Canis lupus familiaris: one gene and its partners. The protein of the gene in region 1 purifies or fractionates together with the protein of each later gene. This does not show direct contact. Links are inferred from orthologs where the notes say so. Each region holds a gene or a part of one and is shown on either strand. Other genes may lie near its edges.

The links. The genes of interacting proteins can lie anywhere in the genome.
Region 2: the proteins of SLC12A6 (region 1) and RAB6B purify together in Homo sapiens (affinity purification with mass spectrometry; 4 studies listed by BioGRID and IntAct, with this or other methods). This does not show direct contact. The link is inferred for Canis lupus familiaris from reciprocal best matches to the Homo sapiens genes SLC12A6 and RAB6B.
Region 3: the proteins of SLC12A6 (region 1) and STK39 purify together in Homo sapiens (affinity purification with mass spectrometry; 3 studies listed by BioGRID and IntAct, with this or other methods). This does not show direct contact. The link is inferred for Canis lupus familiaris from reciprocal best matches to the Homo sapiens genes SLC12A6 and STK39.

What each region holds. Positions count from the first base shown.
Region 1 is NC_049251.1:1,116,515-1,120,774, forward strand, and holds part of SLC12A6 (solute carrier family 12 member 6), read left to right. Parts: intron 1-377; coding exon 378-552; intron 553-870; coding exon 871-989; intron 990-2,194; coding exon 2,195-2,293; intron 2,294-4,201; coding exon 4,202-4,260.
Region 2 is NC_049244.1:31,291,674-31,296,604, reverse strand, and holds the start of RAB6B (ras-related protein Rab-6B), read left to right. Parts: upstream 1-1,880; 5' UTR 1,881-1,966; coding exon 1,967-2,036; intron 2,037-4,931. UniProt on the Homo sapiens protein: The small GTPases Rab are key regulators of intracellular membrane trafficking, from the formation of transport vesicles to their fusion with membranes. Rabs cycle between active GTP-bound and inactive GDP-bound states.
Region 3 is NC_049257.1:13,453,274-13,458,186, reverse strand, and holds the start of STK39 (STE20/SPS1-related proline-alanine-rich protein kinase), read left to right. Parts: upstream 1-1,862; coding exon 1,863-2,079; intron 2,080-4,913. UniProt on the Homo sapiens protein: Effector serine/threonine-protein kinase component of the WNK-SPAK/OSR1 kinase cascade, which is involved in various processes, such as ion transport, response to hypertonic stress and blood pressure.

The sequences.
Region 1 (4,260 bases):
GTGTGATCTCATCTAGGTTTTAAAAAAACATAGTAAATAGACTAAAATGTGCAAAGCATGCTAAATGCTGCCAGCTACTATATGGATTTCCTCCCTCCTTTTTATATATTTTTTTTCCAATTTTTCTGTAAAGAACACGATATTTTGAGGGCAAAAGCCTTAATTGAAGCTTGGCTTTATTCTCTTGGTCCTACAAGTTATTTTTTCTTAATATAGATTAACAATGTCTTTTGATCAAATCTGCTTACCTTTATGTTACTATTCATGTCTGTCTTAATTTTAATTCTCTAAAAATTATAAATAGAAAAAATTAGGTGAATGTTTCTCTAGTTTTCTTAATCTGTAGTTAAATTTCCCCACTCTCATTCCTTTCCCAGGTTTGGGGATGCTGTGAAAGGTAATCTGGTGGTGGGTACCTTATCTTGGCCATCACCATGGGTGATCGTTATTGGCTCCTTCTTCTCCACATGTGGGGCTGGACTTCAGAGCCTCACGGGTGCACCAAGGCTGCTACAGGCTATAGCAAAGGATAACATCATACCCTTCCTGAGGGTGAGTGACCCTCTCCCATACCTTATTGCCTTTTTCTCAGATTTTAGGAGAAACAGTGTGGTCTTCATAGGCTTAGGAATTACCAGATCAGGAAAAAAAAAAAAAAAAAAAAGGAATTACCAGATCATATAATGTGAAGACAGGTGGATTTTTAGTACAAGACCTTCCCTATGAGGGAAGAGTTTATATGTAAGCGGGGTAGAGGTATTTAACAGCACAGTTGTATCCTGTGCTGTGTCTGAAACTGTAGCAGCGAGGGGAGCATTGACTCAGACACTCCCCACACACCTGTGACTAATATATCCCTTCTCTGTACAGGTTTTTGGTCACAGCAAAGCCAATGGGGAACCTACCTGGGCTTTACTTCTAACTGCTGCCATTGCAGAGCTGGGGATTCTTATCGCCTCCCTGGACCTTGTGGCCCCAATTCTTTCTATGTAAGAGCCAGTTCTTCTCTTCACTGTTTCTTGCTTTTGTGATATGTACTACACGTTAATTTCCCTCAGGCATATAATAGTAGTGATAACAGAGTAAGCCAAGTACAGGTGTAACTTCACCTAAATAATACATATTCCAAAGAAGTTTCAAGTAAGGCTGACTTTTATAATTTTATGGTTTCTTCCTACCTGTATAGCTTCAGAAGTTCTTTGCCTTCATTTCTGATTCATTATCAATTGGTTATAGCTTTCACCGCTGCTGTTAGCTTTGATCCTTCAACTGACATAGTGATGACTTAATATCTACCTGGCACTGGGCAGCATGTTAGGAATATAAAGATGAATAACACAACCCTAAGGAACCGATGATAAAGAGATTAGTGGTCCTTGTGCAGTGTGATGAGAACTGTGGTAAAGGTGAATGCTACCGTGAAAGCTCTAAGGGGAGGCACCTAAGTGGACTGAGACTCGGGAAAGGTTCTCTGGATAAAGAGACACTTGCATCTTGAAGGAGGACATTATTTACCAATCAACAAAAGAGTGAGAAGTCCCAGACACTGAATGTGGGTAAAGGAATTGAGGAATGAAACGATGCAGCACATCTGAGAATTGAAAGTAGTTTGGCTTTGATGGGAGGGTGCCTGTTCGGGGGTAGCCAGGCAGAGACTTAGGTAGAACCAGGTCACAAAAGACCTAGAACTTTTACCTGGTGGTAGCGAGTGATCCTTTGAGAATGGAATGATCATATTTATGTTTTAGAGTAATCTGGTATAAAAGGTAAGTGAGAAGGAGGCTAAAATTGAGCTGGGAATGCCAACTGGAAGCTTATTTAATCCAGCAAGGAAAAAATGAGATCCTGAAGTAAGGTAATATAGTAATAGAGATGGAAAGGAGGGGAAAAGTTTAAAAATTTGTGAATGGGTAGAATCCATAGGACTTGATAAGTCAATTTGGAACAAGGATGAGTAACAAAGAGGAAACTGGGATTATCCCAAGAACAACTAGATAAAGAGTAGTTGTGTTTTTCGCTGAGAGAGAACATAGGAGAAGGAGCAAGGTGTGGGGAGAAGTTAAGTTTCTCTGCATCCTAGTCTGAATCAAAGGCTAGTGGGCTGCACCAGAGGCTTAAATACAACAAGGTCTATTTAAAATAGCCCTTGGGAGAGTCATTTTACAGTGCCTCTTAACTTCTTTGATTCCACCAGGTTTTTCCTCATGTGTTACCTCTTTGTGAACTTGGCATGTGCTCTGCAAACATTACTTCGAACACCCAACTGGAGACCTCGGTTCCGCTACTACCACTGGTAAGTCTGCCCTTTTTCTTCTTCTTCCCCACGTTTTAACTAGAAAACGAGGAGAGTCTGGGTGGTCAACACAGTTTTTCTTGGCCAGCCATTCCATACTGCCTATTTCAACATCCAGTGATTCCCTGAATTTCCACCATCTTATGTGTTTTTTCATAGGTCACTTTATAATTTATAACACCCACTTAGAATAAAGATCAAAACTATGAAATAAATATTTCCAGCCTGCTGCATTTTTCCAGGTTAAACCAACCTACCCTTTGCATATCTATTTTCCCATTTCTCTCTTAGCTAAGCACTGAATTTCATCAATTTTCTGTCTTTATCCTCATCAGTTTTCATTCTCAAACTGTCTTCTTAAGTTTCATTTAGCAGGTAAGAGTGTGAGCTATGGGGTCAGATGACCTTAGCTCAGTGTCTGCTCTACTATTTCCTAGCTTTGTAACTTTTAACAAAGCACATAACCACATAAAATCTAATTTTATTCATTTGTAAAATGGACTGATAGTATTACCTGTCTCATGGGATTTCTTTGAGATGATCTGAAGTGCTCAGCACAGTGCCAGGGACGTAGTAAAGCTCTCAGTGAAACTTTGCTGCATTTGCTGCTGCTGCTTTCAAGTCTCCCCAGTCCTAAGGGGGTCATCAAGCTTTTAGCTGCCATCCTATCTCCTCATTTCTTTTCTATCATAGCTAAAGGTTCCTTAGTATGTCCTGTTGCTACATTCCTCTTTGCTAACTTTCTCCTTGACCCTTTCCTGGCTTCACTTTCCAATGATGAGCAGTAGTGTGAGCTTTATAAAGTGGCAAAAATTTGGATCCTCACTGATTTTATCACCTCTAATCCTCTTTCTAATTTTAACCTTAATTAAACATCCACTGTGAACTTTGTTGTGTTACTATTTTGCTTTTATTACCTTTTCCCTTTCTCCTTCTCCTATGTTTTTATTAGATCCTAATTTTCTCCATATTAACAACTCTCCTGTTCACTCTTTGAAATTCATCATAGAGCTAAGAAGTTCATTCTGTACACAGAAGATCTTCAGTAAGCATGATTGTCTACCTAACCTATTTGATCATCAAAACAAGCATTTCATGATTCTCTGCCAAGTTTCTTTCTTTTTTTTTTTTTTTTTTTTTTTTTTTTAGAGGGAGACAGGGGGGAGAAGATGAGCCAAGGGGAGGGGGCAAAGGGAGAGGGAAAGGCTCTTAAGCAGACTCCACACTTAGCACTGAGCCCAAAGCAGGGCTCGATTCCAGGACCCTGAGATCATGACCTGAGCCAAAATCAAGAGTCAGATGCTTACCCACTGAGCCACCAGGTGCCTCTCTGCCAGGTTTCTTTTATGTAAAGTAGAGAAACTAATGGCAGATTTTCTTCAGTGGGTTCTGCATGTGTATGCTAATGAACATTCATAAGGTTTTTAGCAATATTTACATGAAATACTTTTTTTTAAAAGATCGTGTTAATAATTCTAACTACATGCCCCGTCCCTGCTTTGCCAAGTAGTTATTAATTCATTCACAACTGTAGATAACTTTTCGTTATATCCTACTCATTTATGTTTTTCCAGCAATGGGAAACATCAGGACAAAGGATGGTTTGGTTTGGGCCTCAGTGCAGATCTACTGACTGTTGCAGTCCATGATAAGACAACTATAAAAATTGAGAAAAAGCATTTAAAAACTTACAGCAACCTGACCATTGTCACAGTATCCAGGCAAATAGTAATTTTTCTAATAATTCATCTTTATTGCATTTACAATATAAATTTTATAGTCTGTAATATATTGGAATTTAAAATATAATAACAACCCCTCATCAGTTTAAGAAGCACCTCCAGCCCAGGTTTCCTTTTTAGCTGCTTAGAAAAACACTTGTTTGTGTTTTTGTTTTTAATTTTTTAGGGCCCTCTCTTTCATGGGAATGAGTATCTGTCTGGCCCTGATGTTCATTTCTTCCTGGT
Region 2 (4,931 bases), on another chromosome or scaffold:
CTTTCTATCACAATTCAACTGCTTTGTCTTGACAGTGACAATGTCCTCAGTACAGGAGGATGAGAGGGTGCAGGAAGACAGCACCAGGTGGCATCTGGAATATTGGTGGAGGGACCACTCAGAGGTAGGAAGTGCTGCAGCACTGGAATAGTCTCTCCTTCTGGAGCTTCCTTCAGCCCCATGCTGGATACAATCTCCTGAGAGAGCAAGAGCCCCAGAGCAGAAGTAGAGTGGGAGTTTGGAGGGTGCCCCTGAGCCTGATGCCAGGCACAGTGGGGCAGGTATCCTAGACTGCTGGCCCTACAATCTCTGAGGCTCCAAACCAAAGGCAACTCGGAGAAATAAAACAGTTGTTTTGATTTGCATTCTAGACATTCATTCAAACATTCAACAACTATTTACTGAGTTCTCATTTAGGTCCTTGAGATCCTGTGATGGAGCTTCAACAGCTGCTTTCATGGAACTCACTTTCTAGTTTTTAAACAAGCAATGAGAGAGGGATCCAGCTGGGTTGACTATGGGCCAGGAAGCCTATGGGGCTGATAAACAAACCAGAAACAGACAGGAAGACACCCCAATCAAGCCATGTAAGTCAGAAAGAGGATGACAAATGTCCCTTGGTAATCTCTAGGGGTTGAGCTTGCTTCTCTTCTCTCTGTACACACACACACACACACACACACACACACACACATACACACGGAGCTTGCTCCCAAATGTTCTTTGAACCACAGTAAAGAAGGAGACCATGTGGTGGTTGAACAGTAGGAGGCAGCTTCATGAAACCTCCATTAACTGGAATGCCTTACCATCCGGCTGTCCTGGGAGTCCTTCTAACACTTGGGTTCCTTGCTCTCACCCACTCACAACTTGTCCCACGGGCCTCGCTGGGCCAGAGGAATACAGAGGGGAATGGGAAGCAACCCTCCTGTCCTCGGGAAGCTCCTTGTCCAGATACAACTAATTGCCAGGGCAAGCAGAGGCCTCGGAAGCCTGGTGGCCCCAGAGTCAAGAACTGCTGCAGGGCACTGTCCAGAGACAGCCGTGCTGATATTCGGGTGTCTGCTCCTTCGCTCTCATGGGACAGCAGATCCAGGATAAAATTACCTGTAGGAGCGGTTGGCTTGAGATTGGCAGGCACCCTTTCCTGGTCCTCCTCTCTTGCTGGCCAGCTCTGAGGTGACACCGCTGACCCCAGAGAGGAGCCCAGGGGAGGGAGGGCTAGAGCCACCCACACAGGGTCGCGGCCGGGCCGGCCAAGCCCCCTGGCCCACCGCCCCTGGCTCTCCCCCGACCTCCTCTCCTTCCCCTCTCGGCGTCGCGGGAGGTGGAGGAAGGGACCCGCATCTAGGTTCTGGAAGACTAGAAACAGATGTCCCCTGGCAATTTCGTGTCATTTTTCTGGATTCAAAGGAGGGGTCGCGTTAGAGCGGGGAAGGCAGGCAGCCGCGGGGCGGGGGCGGGGGCGGGGGGCGACGAGGGGCGGCGAGGCCCGGGGGTCTCGGAGGCCGGGCGCGGGCACCCGGGCCCCGCATGACATCAGAGGCGGGGAGCGCGCAGAGCGCAGGCGCGGGCCGCGGAGGGCGGACGGGAGGGGGCGGCGCGCGGCTCGCGGCTCGAGGCTCGCGGCTCCGGAGAGCGCTCCTCCGCCTCCGCCCCCGCCGTCCCCGCGCCGTCCCTGCGCCCCGCGCCTCGGGCGTCCAGAGCGCGCCCCGCGCCCCGCGCCCCGCAGCAGCCCAGCCGCAGCCGCAGCCGCAGCCGCAGCCCAGCCCCAGCCCCAGCCCCAGCCCCAGCCGCCGCCGCCGGACACGCCGCCGCAGGCCGGGGCCGGGCGCACCGGGGAGCCAGGGACGCGCGCAGCCCGCCCTTCCCCCTCCGGCTCCCGCACCGCCGCCGCCTCCCCCGCCCTCCCCCTCCGGCTCCTTCGCCTCGCCGCCGCCTCCTGCACGGCCCGGCCGCCAGCACCATGTCCGCAGGGGGAGATTTTGGGAACCCGCTGAGGAAATTCAAGTTGGTGTTCCTGGGGGAGCAGAGCGGTAAGTGCCCCCCGGTTCTGGCTGGGCGCCGAGTCACCCCCGCCGCCCCCCTCGTCCGCCCGGTGAGGCCCCGGCCCCGGCGCGGAAGGGCCCCTCCGAGCCCGGGCGGAGGGAGGCCCCGGGGAGGGGCGCGGGGTGCGGGGCTGCAGCGGCGGGAGGCCGAGGGCGCGGCTGCTCGGCGGCGGGGCTCGCGGGCTCCTCGCAATGCGGCAGCGGCGGCGGCTGCGGGCGAGCGCGCAGGTGGCCGGGCGCGGGGCGCGGGGCGCGGGGCGCGGGGCGCGGGGCGCGGGCGGGGGCAGGGGCCGGGGGGGCCGGGGGGGGCCGGGGCCGGGGGCGGGGGCCGGAGCCCCTCTCCCGAGCACGAGGCGGGCCGGCGGGGGCTCCCTGCGGACCCTGCCCCGACAGATGTTTAGTGCTGGGCACGTCCAGGCCCCGGAGCCGGCGGCCTCGGGGGAAGCCGACACCTGTCTCCCGCGGAAAGGGCGGGCGCCGCTGTAGGGGAACGGGGCGCCCACCTCCCCCGGCCTCACGTCCGACTGGGCGCGGAAGGTTCTAGACGCTGCCCGGTGCCCGCGTGTGGGAGCGCCCCTCGGGCGCAGGGTCTGGGCGAGGACAGCGAGGGGTCCCCGGTGCGAGGCGGATTGGGGGATGGTGCGGGGGTGCCTCGCCCCGAGACGCGGCGAAGCCCGGCGCTGGGCAGAGAAAGGACCGGGCGGCACGCCCTGCCTGGCTGCCCAGCACCCTCCGGGGAGCGGGGGGGAGCGAGAGCGCTGAACGCAGACGAGGCTTCCCACCCCCACCTCCCGGCTCTCCGCCCGTCTTGGGGGAGGGGAGGTCACCGAGGCAGCCGGCCAGGGGCGGGGGAGCGGGAGCGGGGGAGGGGGAGACCGCGGCCTCCCTGCCACCCAGCAGCCTCTCGGGGACAGCATCTCAGAAACCCCGGTTGGCCCGGCCCCGAGGTGAGAGGACCAGATGGAAGAGCGAGGATCCCGCTGACACCTGTAGGAAGGAGTGGTTCTCAGAGCATCTCCCCAGAGGCCTCTCACCTGGGGCTGCAGAGAGACAGGCTGGGCCTTGCCCAGCTCACCTCAGGAAGAAGGCGGTCACTGGGGACAGGATCCCCAGCCCTAGCTCTGCACACCAGTCCAGTTCACGTGCTTTGATGCCTGTCTGTCCAAGGGGCCAAGACGCAGGCAACCTTAGGAGGACCTGATGGGCTCAGGGAGCAGTGCTACCCTGCTGTGTGTACAAGTGGGTTGTGAAGGTCACATGGCAGGCTTCTGTGTTGCTGCTCATTCCCTGGGGTGGATGGTTCAGAGAAGGATGTCAGAAGGTGGTCAGGCCCTAACGTGGGGATGGATCCTGGGGCCAGGCTGTGGGCATTTCAGAACAGAATCAACTCAGCCAGCCAGCCCTGGGTCCTGGACTGTGAGTTTCTGATCTTAACAGAGTCCAGCTTCTGAGCTCACTATGCCTGTAGGGATTTCAGGAGTCTTCACATCCCAGTGCTACTCTTACCCAGCCTGAAGCCCTGGGAGAGAACTCTGATCAGACAGCCTGGGACTTGAATTCCTGCTTGTGTTGTCTCGAGCAGATTTCCAGGCCTCTCTGGACCTCAGTTTCTGTCTCTGCGAAATGGTTGCCTGAGGGCAGTTCTCTTAGTCCTTCACATTTCCCCAGTGCTTCTCAAAGGGCCTTAGCTCTGTTAAGTTAGTTCTCAAGAAACATTTTTTTATTCCCAGTCTGAACATGTTTCCGCCCATCAGACCAGGGCTCTGATGAGGAGAATGCCTCTTGTGAATTTGAGTGAAAACTCTGGACTCCCTCAGAATCTCTGATGGGCTGAGGTCCCTGAGGCGCCATGCAAACCCCCTTTGTTCCTAAATCACAGAAACTAGAGCTTAAGGCCTCAGAGATGGAGTCCCCATTCTGCATGTGTAGATAAGAAGTCTGATCCCCAGGGAGGAGGAGGACTTATGGAGAGTCCCAGGGTGAGTTGCTAGTACTTCAGGGGCTGGAACCAACATCTCCTGTTCCCAGTTGTCAGCATGTCATTGGGAATTAAGATGACCTTGAATCAGGGAGATAGGAGAATTGGGGAGCCCTCCTGAGTTGGGGTAAGGATTGTCACCCTCTGGCCAGCCTTGTGGCCGTGTTGGATGACCTGGGGGGAATGCTGAGCTGTTTGGGCTGGGGGCAGGGTTTGTAGGCCCACCCTTGGAACACAGGTCATTAGAGATGAAAGGCTCTGCCATCAATGGGATTGGCTATTGGCCACTCTGGTCCCTTCTGGCTGGGAGCCTTAGGGCCCTGAGAAGCCTTCTCCCACTAGACTGTGTAGTGGATTGCGTACTTCATATTCTACATGGCTTTTGGGGCCCTGAAATTAGGTGGGGGACATAGGCATCCCAGAGCCTGGTACGATGGGGAACTGCCTTCGGAGATACTGCTTCTGTCTTGCCTGCACACAGTTTTGTCTGTATTGGTCCTTTGTGTCACTGTAGCCTATGCAGTGTAGGGAGCCCCTGAGTTCTGGCCCTCCCTCTACCCTGGCTCTCCCTCCCTATGTGACTTCAGAGGTCCTTCACCTTCTCTAGCTGAGACACTTGGGTCAGCTGAGCTTGACAGAAGCCATCTAGAGAAGCATACCTATATGAGCTGACTACCCTGGATAGAAGGCAGGGGAAGGGGCTGGAGGAATGTGGCCTTTTCTTGTTTCTTGTGGGTGGTATAATGGTGCTATCTCCCTAGGCTAGTGGAGGAGGACACCTGGATTCCAAAAAGGAGTACCTGACCTGGAGCCCAGTGATGAGGAGGACACCTGGAACAGATAATTCTAGGAGGGTATCAACCCTTCAAAGATACCAGGATCTGGTTTGAGTGGGAAGCCCTTAA
Region 3 (4,913 bases), on another chromosome or scaffold:
GTACAGATATCTGGTATGTGACTATGGAACAGTTGTTCTTTGTAGGAAACTAAGTGATCTGTGTTTGATTCAAATCCGTGCTATTGGTGCTGACAACATCATATTTTCCAATTAAGTTCCAAGAACTTTCCTGGCCTTCACGGTCTCAGTTCATGATTTGAAATTCAAAATATAAATTCACATGAGGAAATGGGGGTCATATTCCTGTAATTATTTTTCTTTTCCCTTAAAAGTTCTTTGGGATGGGGAGCAGCCCTTGAAAAAGAGAGTTCCCCTCTTCCCTATTCCTCCCCACTGAACACATCAGAGGCCTAGAATTTATTTGTTCATCAAGTTGTATTTCTTGATTAAAATCAATACGCAGTTTTTGAACACCCATGCATAAAAGATGTATACTTTCTTAGTTCAGCATAAATTTCTGCTTATAGACCAGAGCACCGTAGTTGCTGAACCCCATCTGTTCCGTAATGCTATGAGATTAAGCACACTCGGTTTAGTTTAGATCCCTGTTTGATTAGACATATAACATTTCTCCTAATGAATTTCTGACTTTCCTCTTGTCTTCCAAAAAAATATTGAGATTTTTGTGTTTAAACGCAGAAGACAAAGCATTACAGTCTTTCTTAGAGCTTTTTTTTTTTTTTCTTAAGATTTTATTTATTTATTCGTGATAGAGAGGCAGAGGCACAGGCAGAGGGAGAAGCAGGCTCCATGCAGGGAGCCTGATGTGGGACTTGATCTCGGGTCTCCAGGGTCACGCCCCGGGCTGCAGGTGGCGCTAAACCGCTGGGCCACCCGGGGATCCGCCTCCCCCTTTTTTAAATTGGAGTTCAATTTGCCAACATATAGCATATCACCCACTTCTTAGAGCCCTTTTTTTTTTTTTTTTTTTAAATAATGCTCATTACTCTAATGCATTTCTTCAGCCGTTGTCATGAAAATCACACAAGAAAATTTGGGCAAAATGACCCAGCGGACCCTTGGTTCCCTGCACCGTTTCTGCTTCAGACGAGGGTGGTGTCGTCTAGGTCATCAGGTCATCGCTACGGAGGGAACCCAGGGAACATCAGTGTGCAACACGACACCCGTAATTAGGAAGACCTAAGGTTCAACCACAGCAGCGGTAAAGATGAGGTAATTTCGGGGGGCGGGGGGGGGGAGTTGGGGAAAGAAAGCAGCAATGAATGAACCAAAAGTTTTCGGCAGCTCGTTTAGGGCGCAGTGTGCGCTGCAAGAGAGACGCCTGCCGCGGTCGCCGGGGGCCAGTGCGGCCTGCGGCGGAGGCCACAGTCGGCCACAGGGCGCGCGACCCCTTCCATTTGCTCGGGTCCCACGCACGGGCCCTTGGACCACGTCCCGAAGGAGCCTGCGGACCGCCGGGACCCGAGGAATCACGCTGCACTCGGGGGGGGGCGGGGGCTTGAACCTCGGAGGCGAAGGTGCGAAGGGGATGCTGGCAGGTGACGCGCGGCGGGGTCCCGGCCTGCGGGACGGCTCAGCGGGCGTCGCGCGAGCCCGCCCCGGGGACCCGGGCGCCGCGGGAGGCCGGGCCGAGCGGACCGAGCCCGCCCGGCTCGCCGGCGCCGGGCGCGGGGCGGGGGGCGGGGGGTGGGGGGAGGCGGCGGTTCCCGCGGAGGCGGCAGCGGCGCGCGCGAGGCTCGGGGCCGCGGCGCCCCCCCCCCCCCCGCGCTGCCTCCGCCCTCCGCGCGGCCCGGCCTCCCTGCTCCCTCCCCTCGGGGCTCCGGCGGCGGCGGCGGCGCGGCGGGGAGGGCGTGCGCCGGCGGGAGGCGGCGGCCAGGCCGGGGAAGTTTCGAGTGGAAGGTCGTCCGCCGGCCGCGCGTCCTCCCGCCGCCCGGAGCATCATGGCGGAGCCCGGCGGCTCGCCCGTGCACGTCCAGCCGCCCCAGCACGCGGCCCCGGCGACGGCGGCGGCCCCCGCGTTCCCCGCGGCCCCCGCGGCGCCGGCCCCGGCCCCGGCCCCGGCCCCGGCCCCGGCCCCGGCCCCGGCCCCCGGCCCCGCGGCGCAGGCGGCCGGCTGGCCCATCTGCAGGGACGCGTACGAGCTGCAGGAGGTGATCGGTCAGTGCGGCGGGCCCGGGGCCGGGGGGGCTCGCTGCGTGCTCGCCGGGAGGCTGGCGCCCGGCCTCGGGCCTACCGGCTCCAACAGTTTTTTTTTTTTTTTTTTTTCCTTTAATTTATTTGTTCGTTCTCTGAGCGCTGCTGCTGCTGCAGGCGGCGGCGCGGCGGATGTGACTCGCACTGCAGACGAGCCGCACGCTGCAAACTTTTATCTCCCGGATCGCCGGGGCGGCGGGTGGCGGATGGGGGGGCGGGGGTGGGGGAGCCGGGGATGGCGGAGCCGGGGATGGGGGGCCGGAGAGCGGGGCGGCGGAGCGGGCGAGCCGGGAAGCCGGGGATGGCGGAGCCGGGGATGGCGGAGCCGGGGAGCGGGGGAGCCGGGGCGGCCGAGCCGGGGAGCCGGGCCGCCGAGCAGCCGCGTCAGCCTCCAGCCGAGCGGCGGGGCCGCAGCCGGTGCGGGCGGCGGGGCGGGCGGGGCGGGCGGGGCTGCGGGGGCGCCGCCCTGGGCTTCCAGCGCCGCCGCGCCGCGCCCGGGGGGGGCCGCGTCCCGGGGGCCTCGGCGGGCGTCCCTGCGCCCCTGCGCCCCGCGAGCAGCCTCTCGCCGTGGGTCCCGGGGCCCCTCCCGAGGCCGCGGAGGATGCCGCTGCCCCGCGCCCGCCCCGCCGCCCGGTGCGCCCCGGGCCCCATCCCTGGCCCCCGCCCCGGGACCCAGCGGGCGCCCGGTCCTCCCCCGGGTCCTCCCCCGGGTCCGGGTCCGGGTCCGGGTCCTCGCCCGCGCCCGCCGCCACCCGGTCGGCTCCCGGTTTCCAAAAACGTGTCCGGGCCCGCGGCAGGCAGGCGGCGTGACTTTTCCTCGGGCCTCGCACGGGAAAGGCCGGGGCTGTGCGCCGACCCGTGGCCCAGAACCTCTCCCTCGAGGCCCTTTTGCGGAGCCGGGTCGGGGAGCTCGGGGGCCTGGGGGGCCTGGGGGGCAGGCGGCTGCCCCGGGGCCCGGTGTGCACGTGCCGTGATGAAAAAGGAATTTAGGGTATTTATGTTAGGTATGTGTTTTGCTTTCCTTAAAAAAAAAAAAAAAAAAAAAAAATTCTCCAGACTCCCGTCCCCCCCCCCCCCCCTTTAAAAAATTAAAACCGGAGGAATTTCATGAGGCCTGCAAATGAGCCCTTATCACCTGCTGCTGTGGGAATGAAACCGCATGGCCTGAAATACGCGTATATTTCATCTATAGGAGAAAATGATGGGCAGGACGGTAACCAAGGATACCGAAACTTCAAATAATCTAAAATAGACATCTCTATATAACATTCTTTGGAAACCCAGACTTTTCACAAGTTTGGGCCAGAGATTCTCAGGGAATGTGTCCTTGTGTCACTTTCTGGATTAAATGGCTTTAAGGGCTTCTCAATGAAAACTGCTTGAAGGTGGCATATAAGCCCCCTCCAGTTTTTCAGCTTCACTGCCTGCCCTCAGCAGGCTTGCCCCTTCCCCTGGTCTGCGTGTATTGATCGCGCCCTGAGCATTGTGTTGTCCTTTGACACATCTGGCCTTCCAGTCCTCCTGTCTGGGTACAGACTCTCCTCTCATCCGAGTGCCCATTTTGTCAGGGAATCTCACTCAGCTCCCACGGCCAGAGGGAATTTTCTTTGAGAAGCCTTTTGCTTTTCCTGAGCCGAAGCATATTGGCTTCCTCTACCCCTCTTTTTACACACTTTATAGCATGTAACCCCCTGTTTTTTGACTCGTGCCACAACATCTAAGAGTCTCTTATGTCCTGAGCATTGTGCTGCGTGTTAGCAGTATGCAATTTCATAAAAAAAGGTTCTTGCCCTCAAGGACCTGGCAACTTTATGTAAATGATTGTATAAGAGGTGATGGGTGAACACTGGGAGAGCACAAAGGGGGGGGGGTGGTGGGGATCATGAGAACACCAGAATTTAGTTATAACCAATTTATATGATTATTTTTGTCCGTTATTACGTTGAAATGTAAGCTTTGCTTATTGAAAACCGTATTTTGAGCCGACTAGTTTTGTGAGCTAATGAATAAAAATATTTTAATTTAAGTGATGGGCTTAATTGCAGGGCTTCTTCCTGCTTTCGGTGACAGCACTGTTAATTATGGTTGGTCAGTTTACCTAAGGCATTTGAGAACAGAAATACCTGCTTCTTACTTCTCCTGTTTTTGCACATTCACCCTGTGGAAAGGGCTTTTCTACATTTTAAATGTATCTTCTGTTCTCCAGCTAAGAGATGGTCCATGGGCCATGCTATTGACCAATCAGATTGCTGGCATAGGGGTTTTGCAAGGGCTTAATGTTTATAAGGAATTATAAACCCATTTCCATTTAGTGTTTAATGCCAGTTGAGTGATTACAAGTGAACTTGTGGTTAAGCACTTTTACTTAAACATTACTCACAGAAGTTAGTAGTTCAGACACTGAACTAGTTTCTACACGAATGCGGGTGAAGAGCCTCTGCCTCCCCCTCCGCCCGGCAGGTGTCATATGATAGGGCTCCAGCAGTGTGAACGGCCACCAGCAGGAGGCTCGGGTGTGCCTGAGCAGAAGACCGAGGGAGGCACCGCGTGTTGTGTTTTAACTTTGCAGCGTGGCACAGAGCACTTTTTCTTCATTTCCTTCTGGGCAGAGATTGGGGCCTCAGGATTATGAGAGAATAGGTTTACTAAAGTTCAAACAAGACAGGTTCAGTTGTTTGACTTCTATTTTAGAAAAATAAACACAGGATTTTGCAAGTGTAAAAAATAAAGTTTTCACTGTTCTTGTGCCGTGAAAAGATCAATGGAGAATTTGTAATGCTCTTATGGGTAATCTGGTT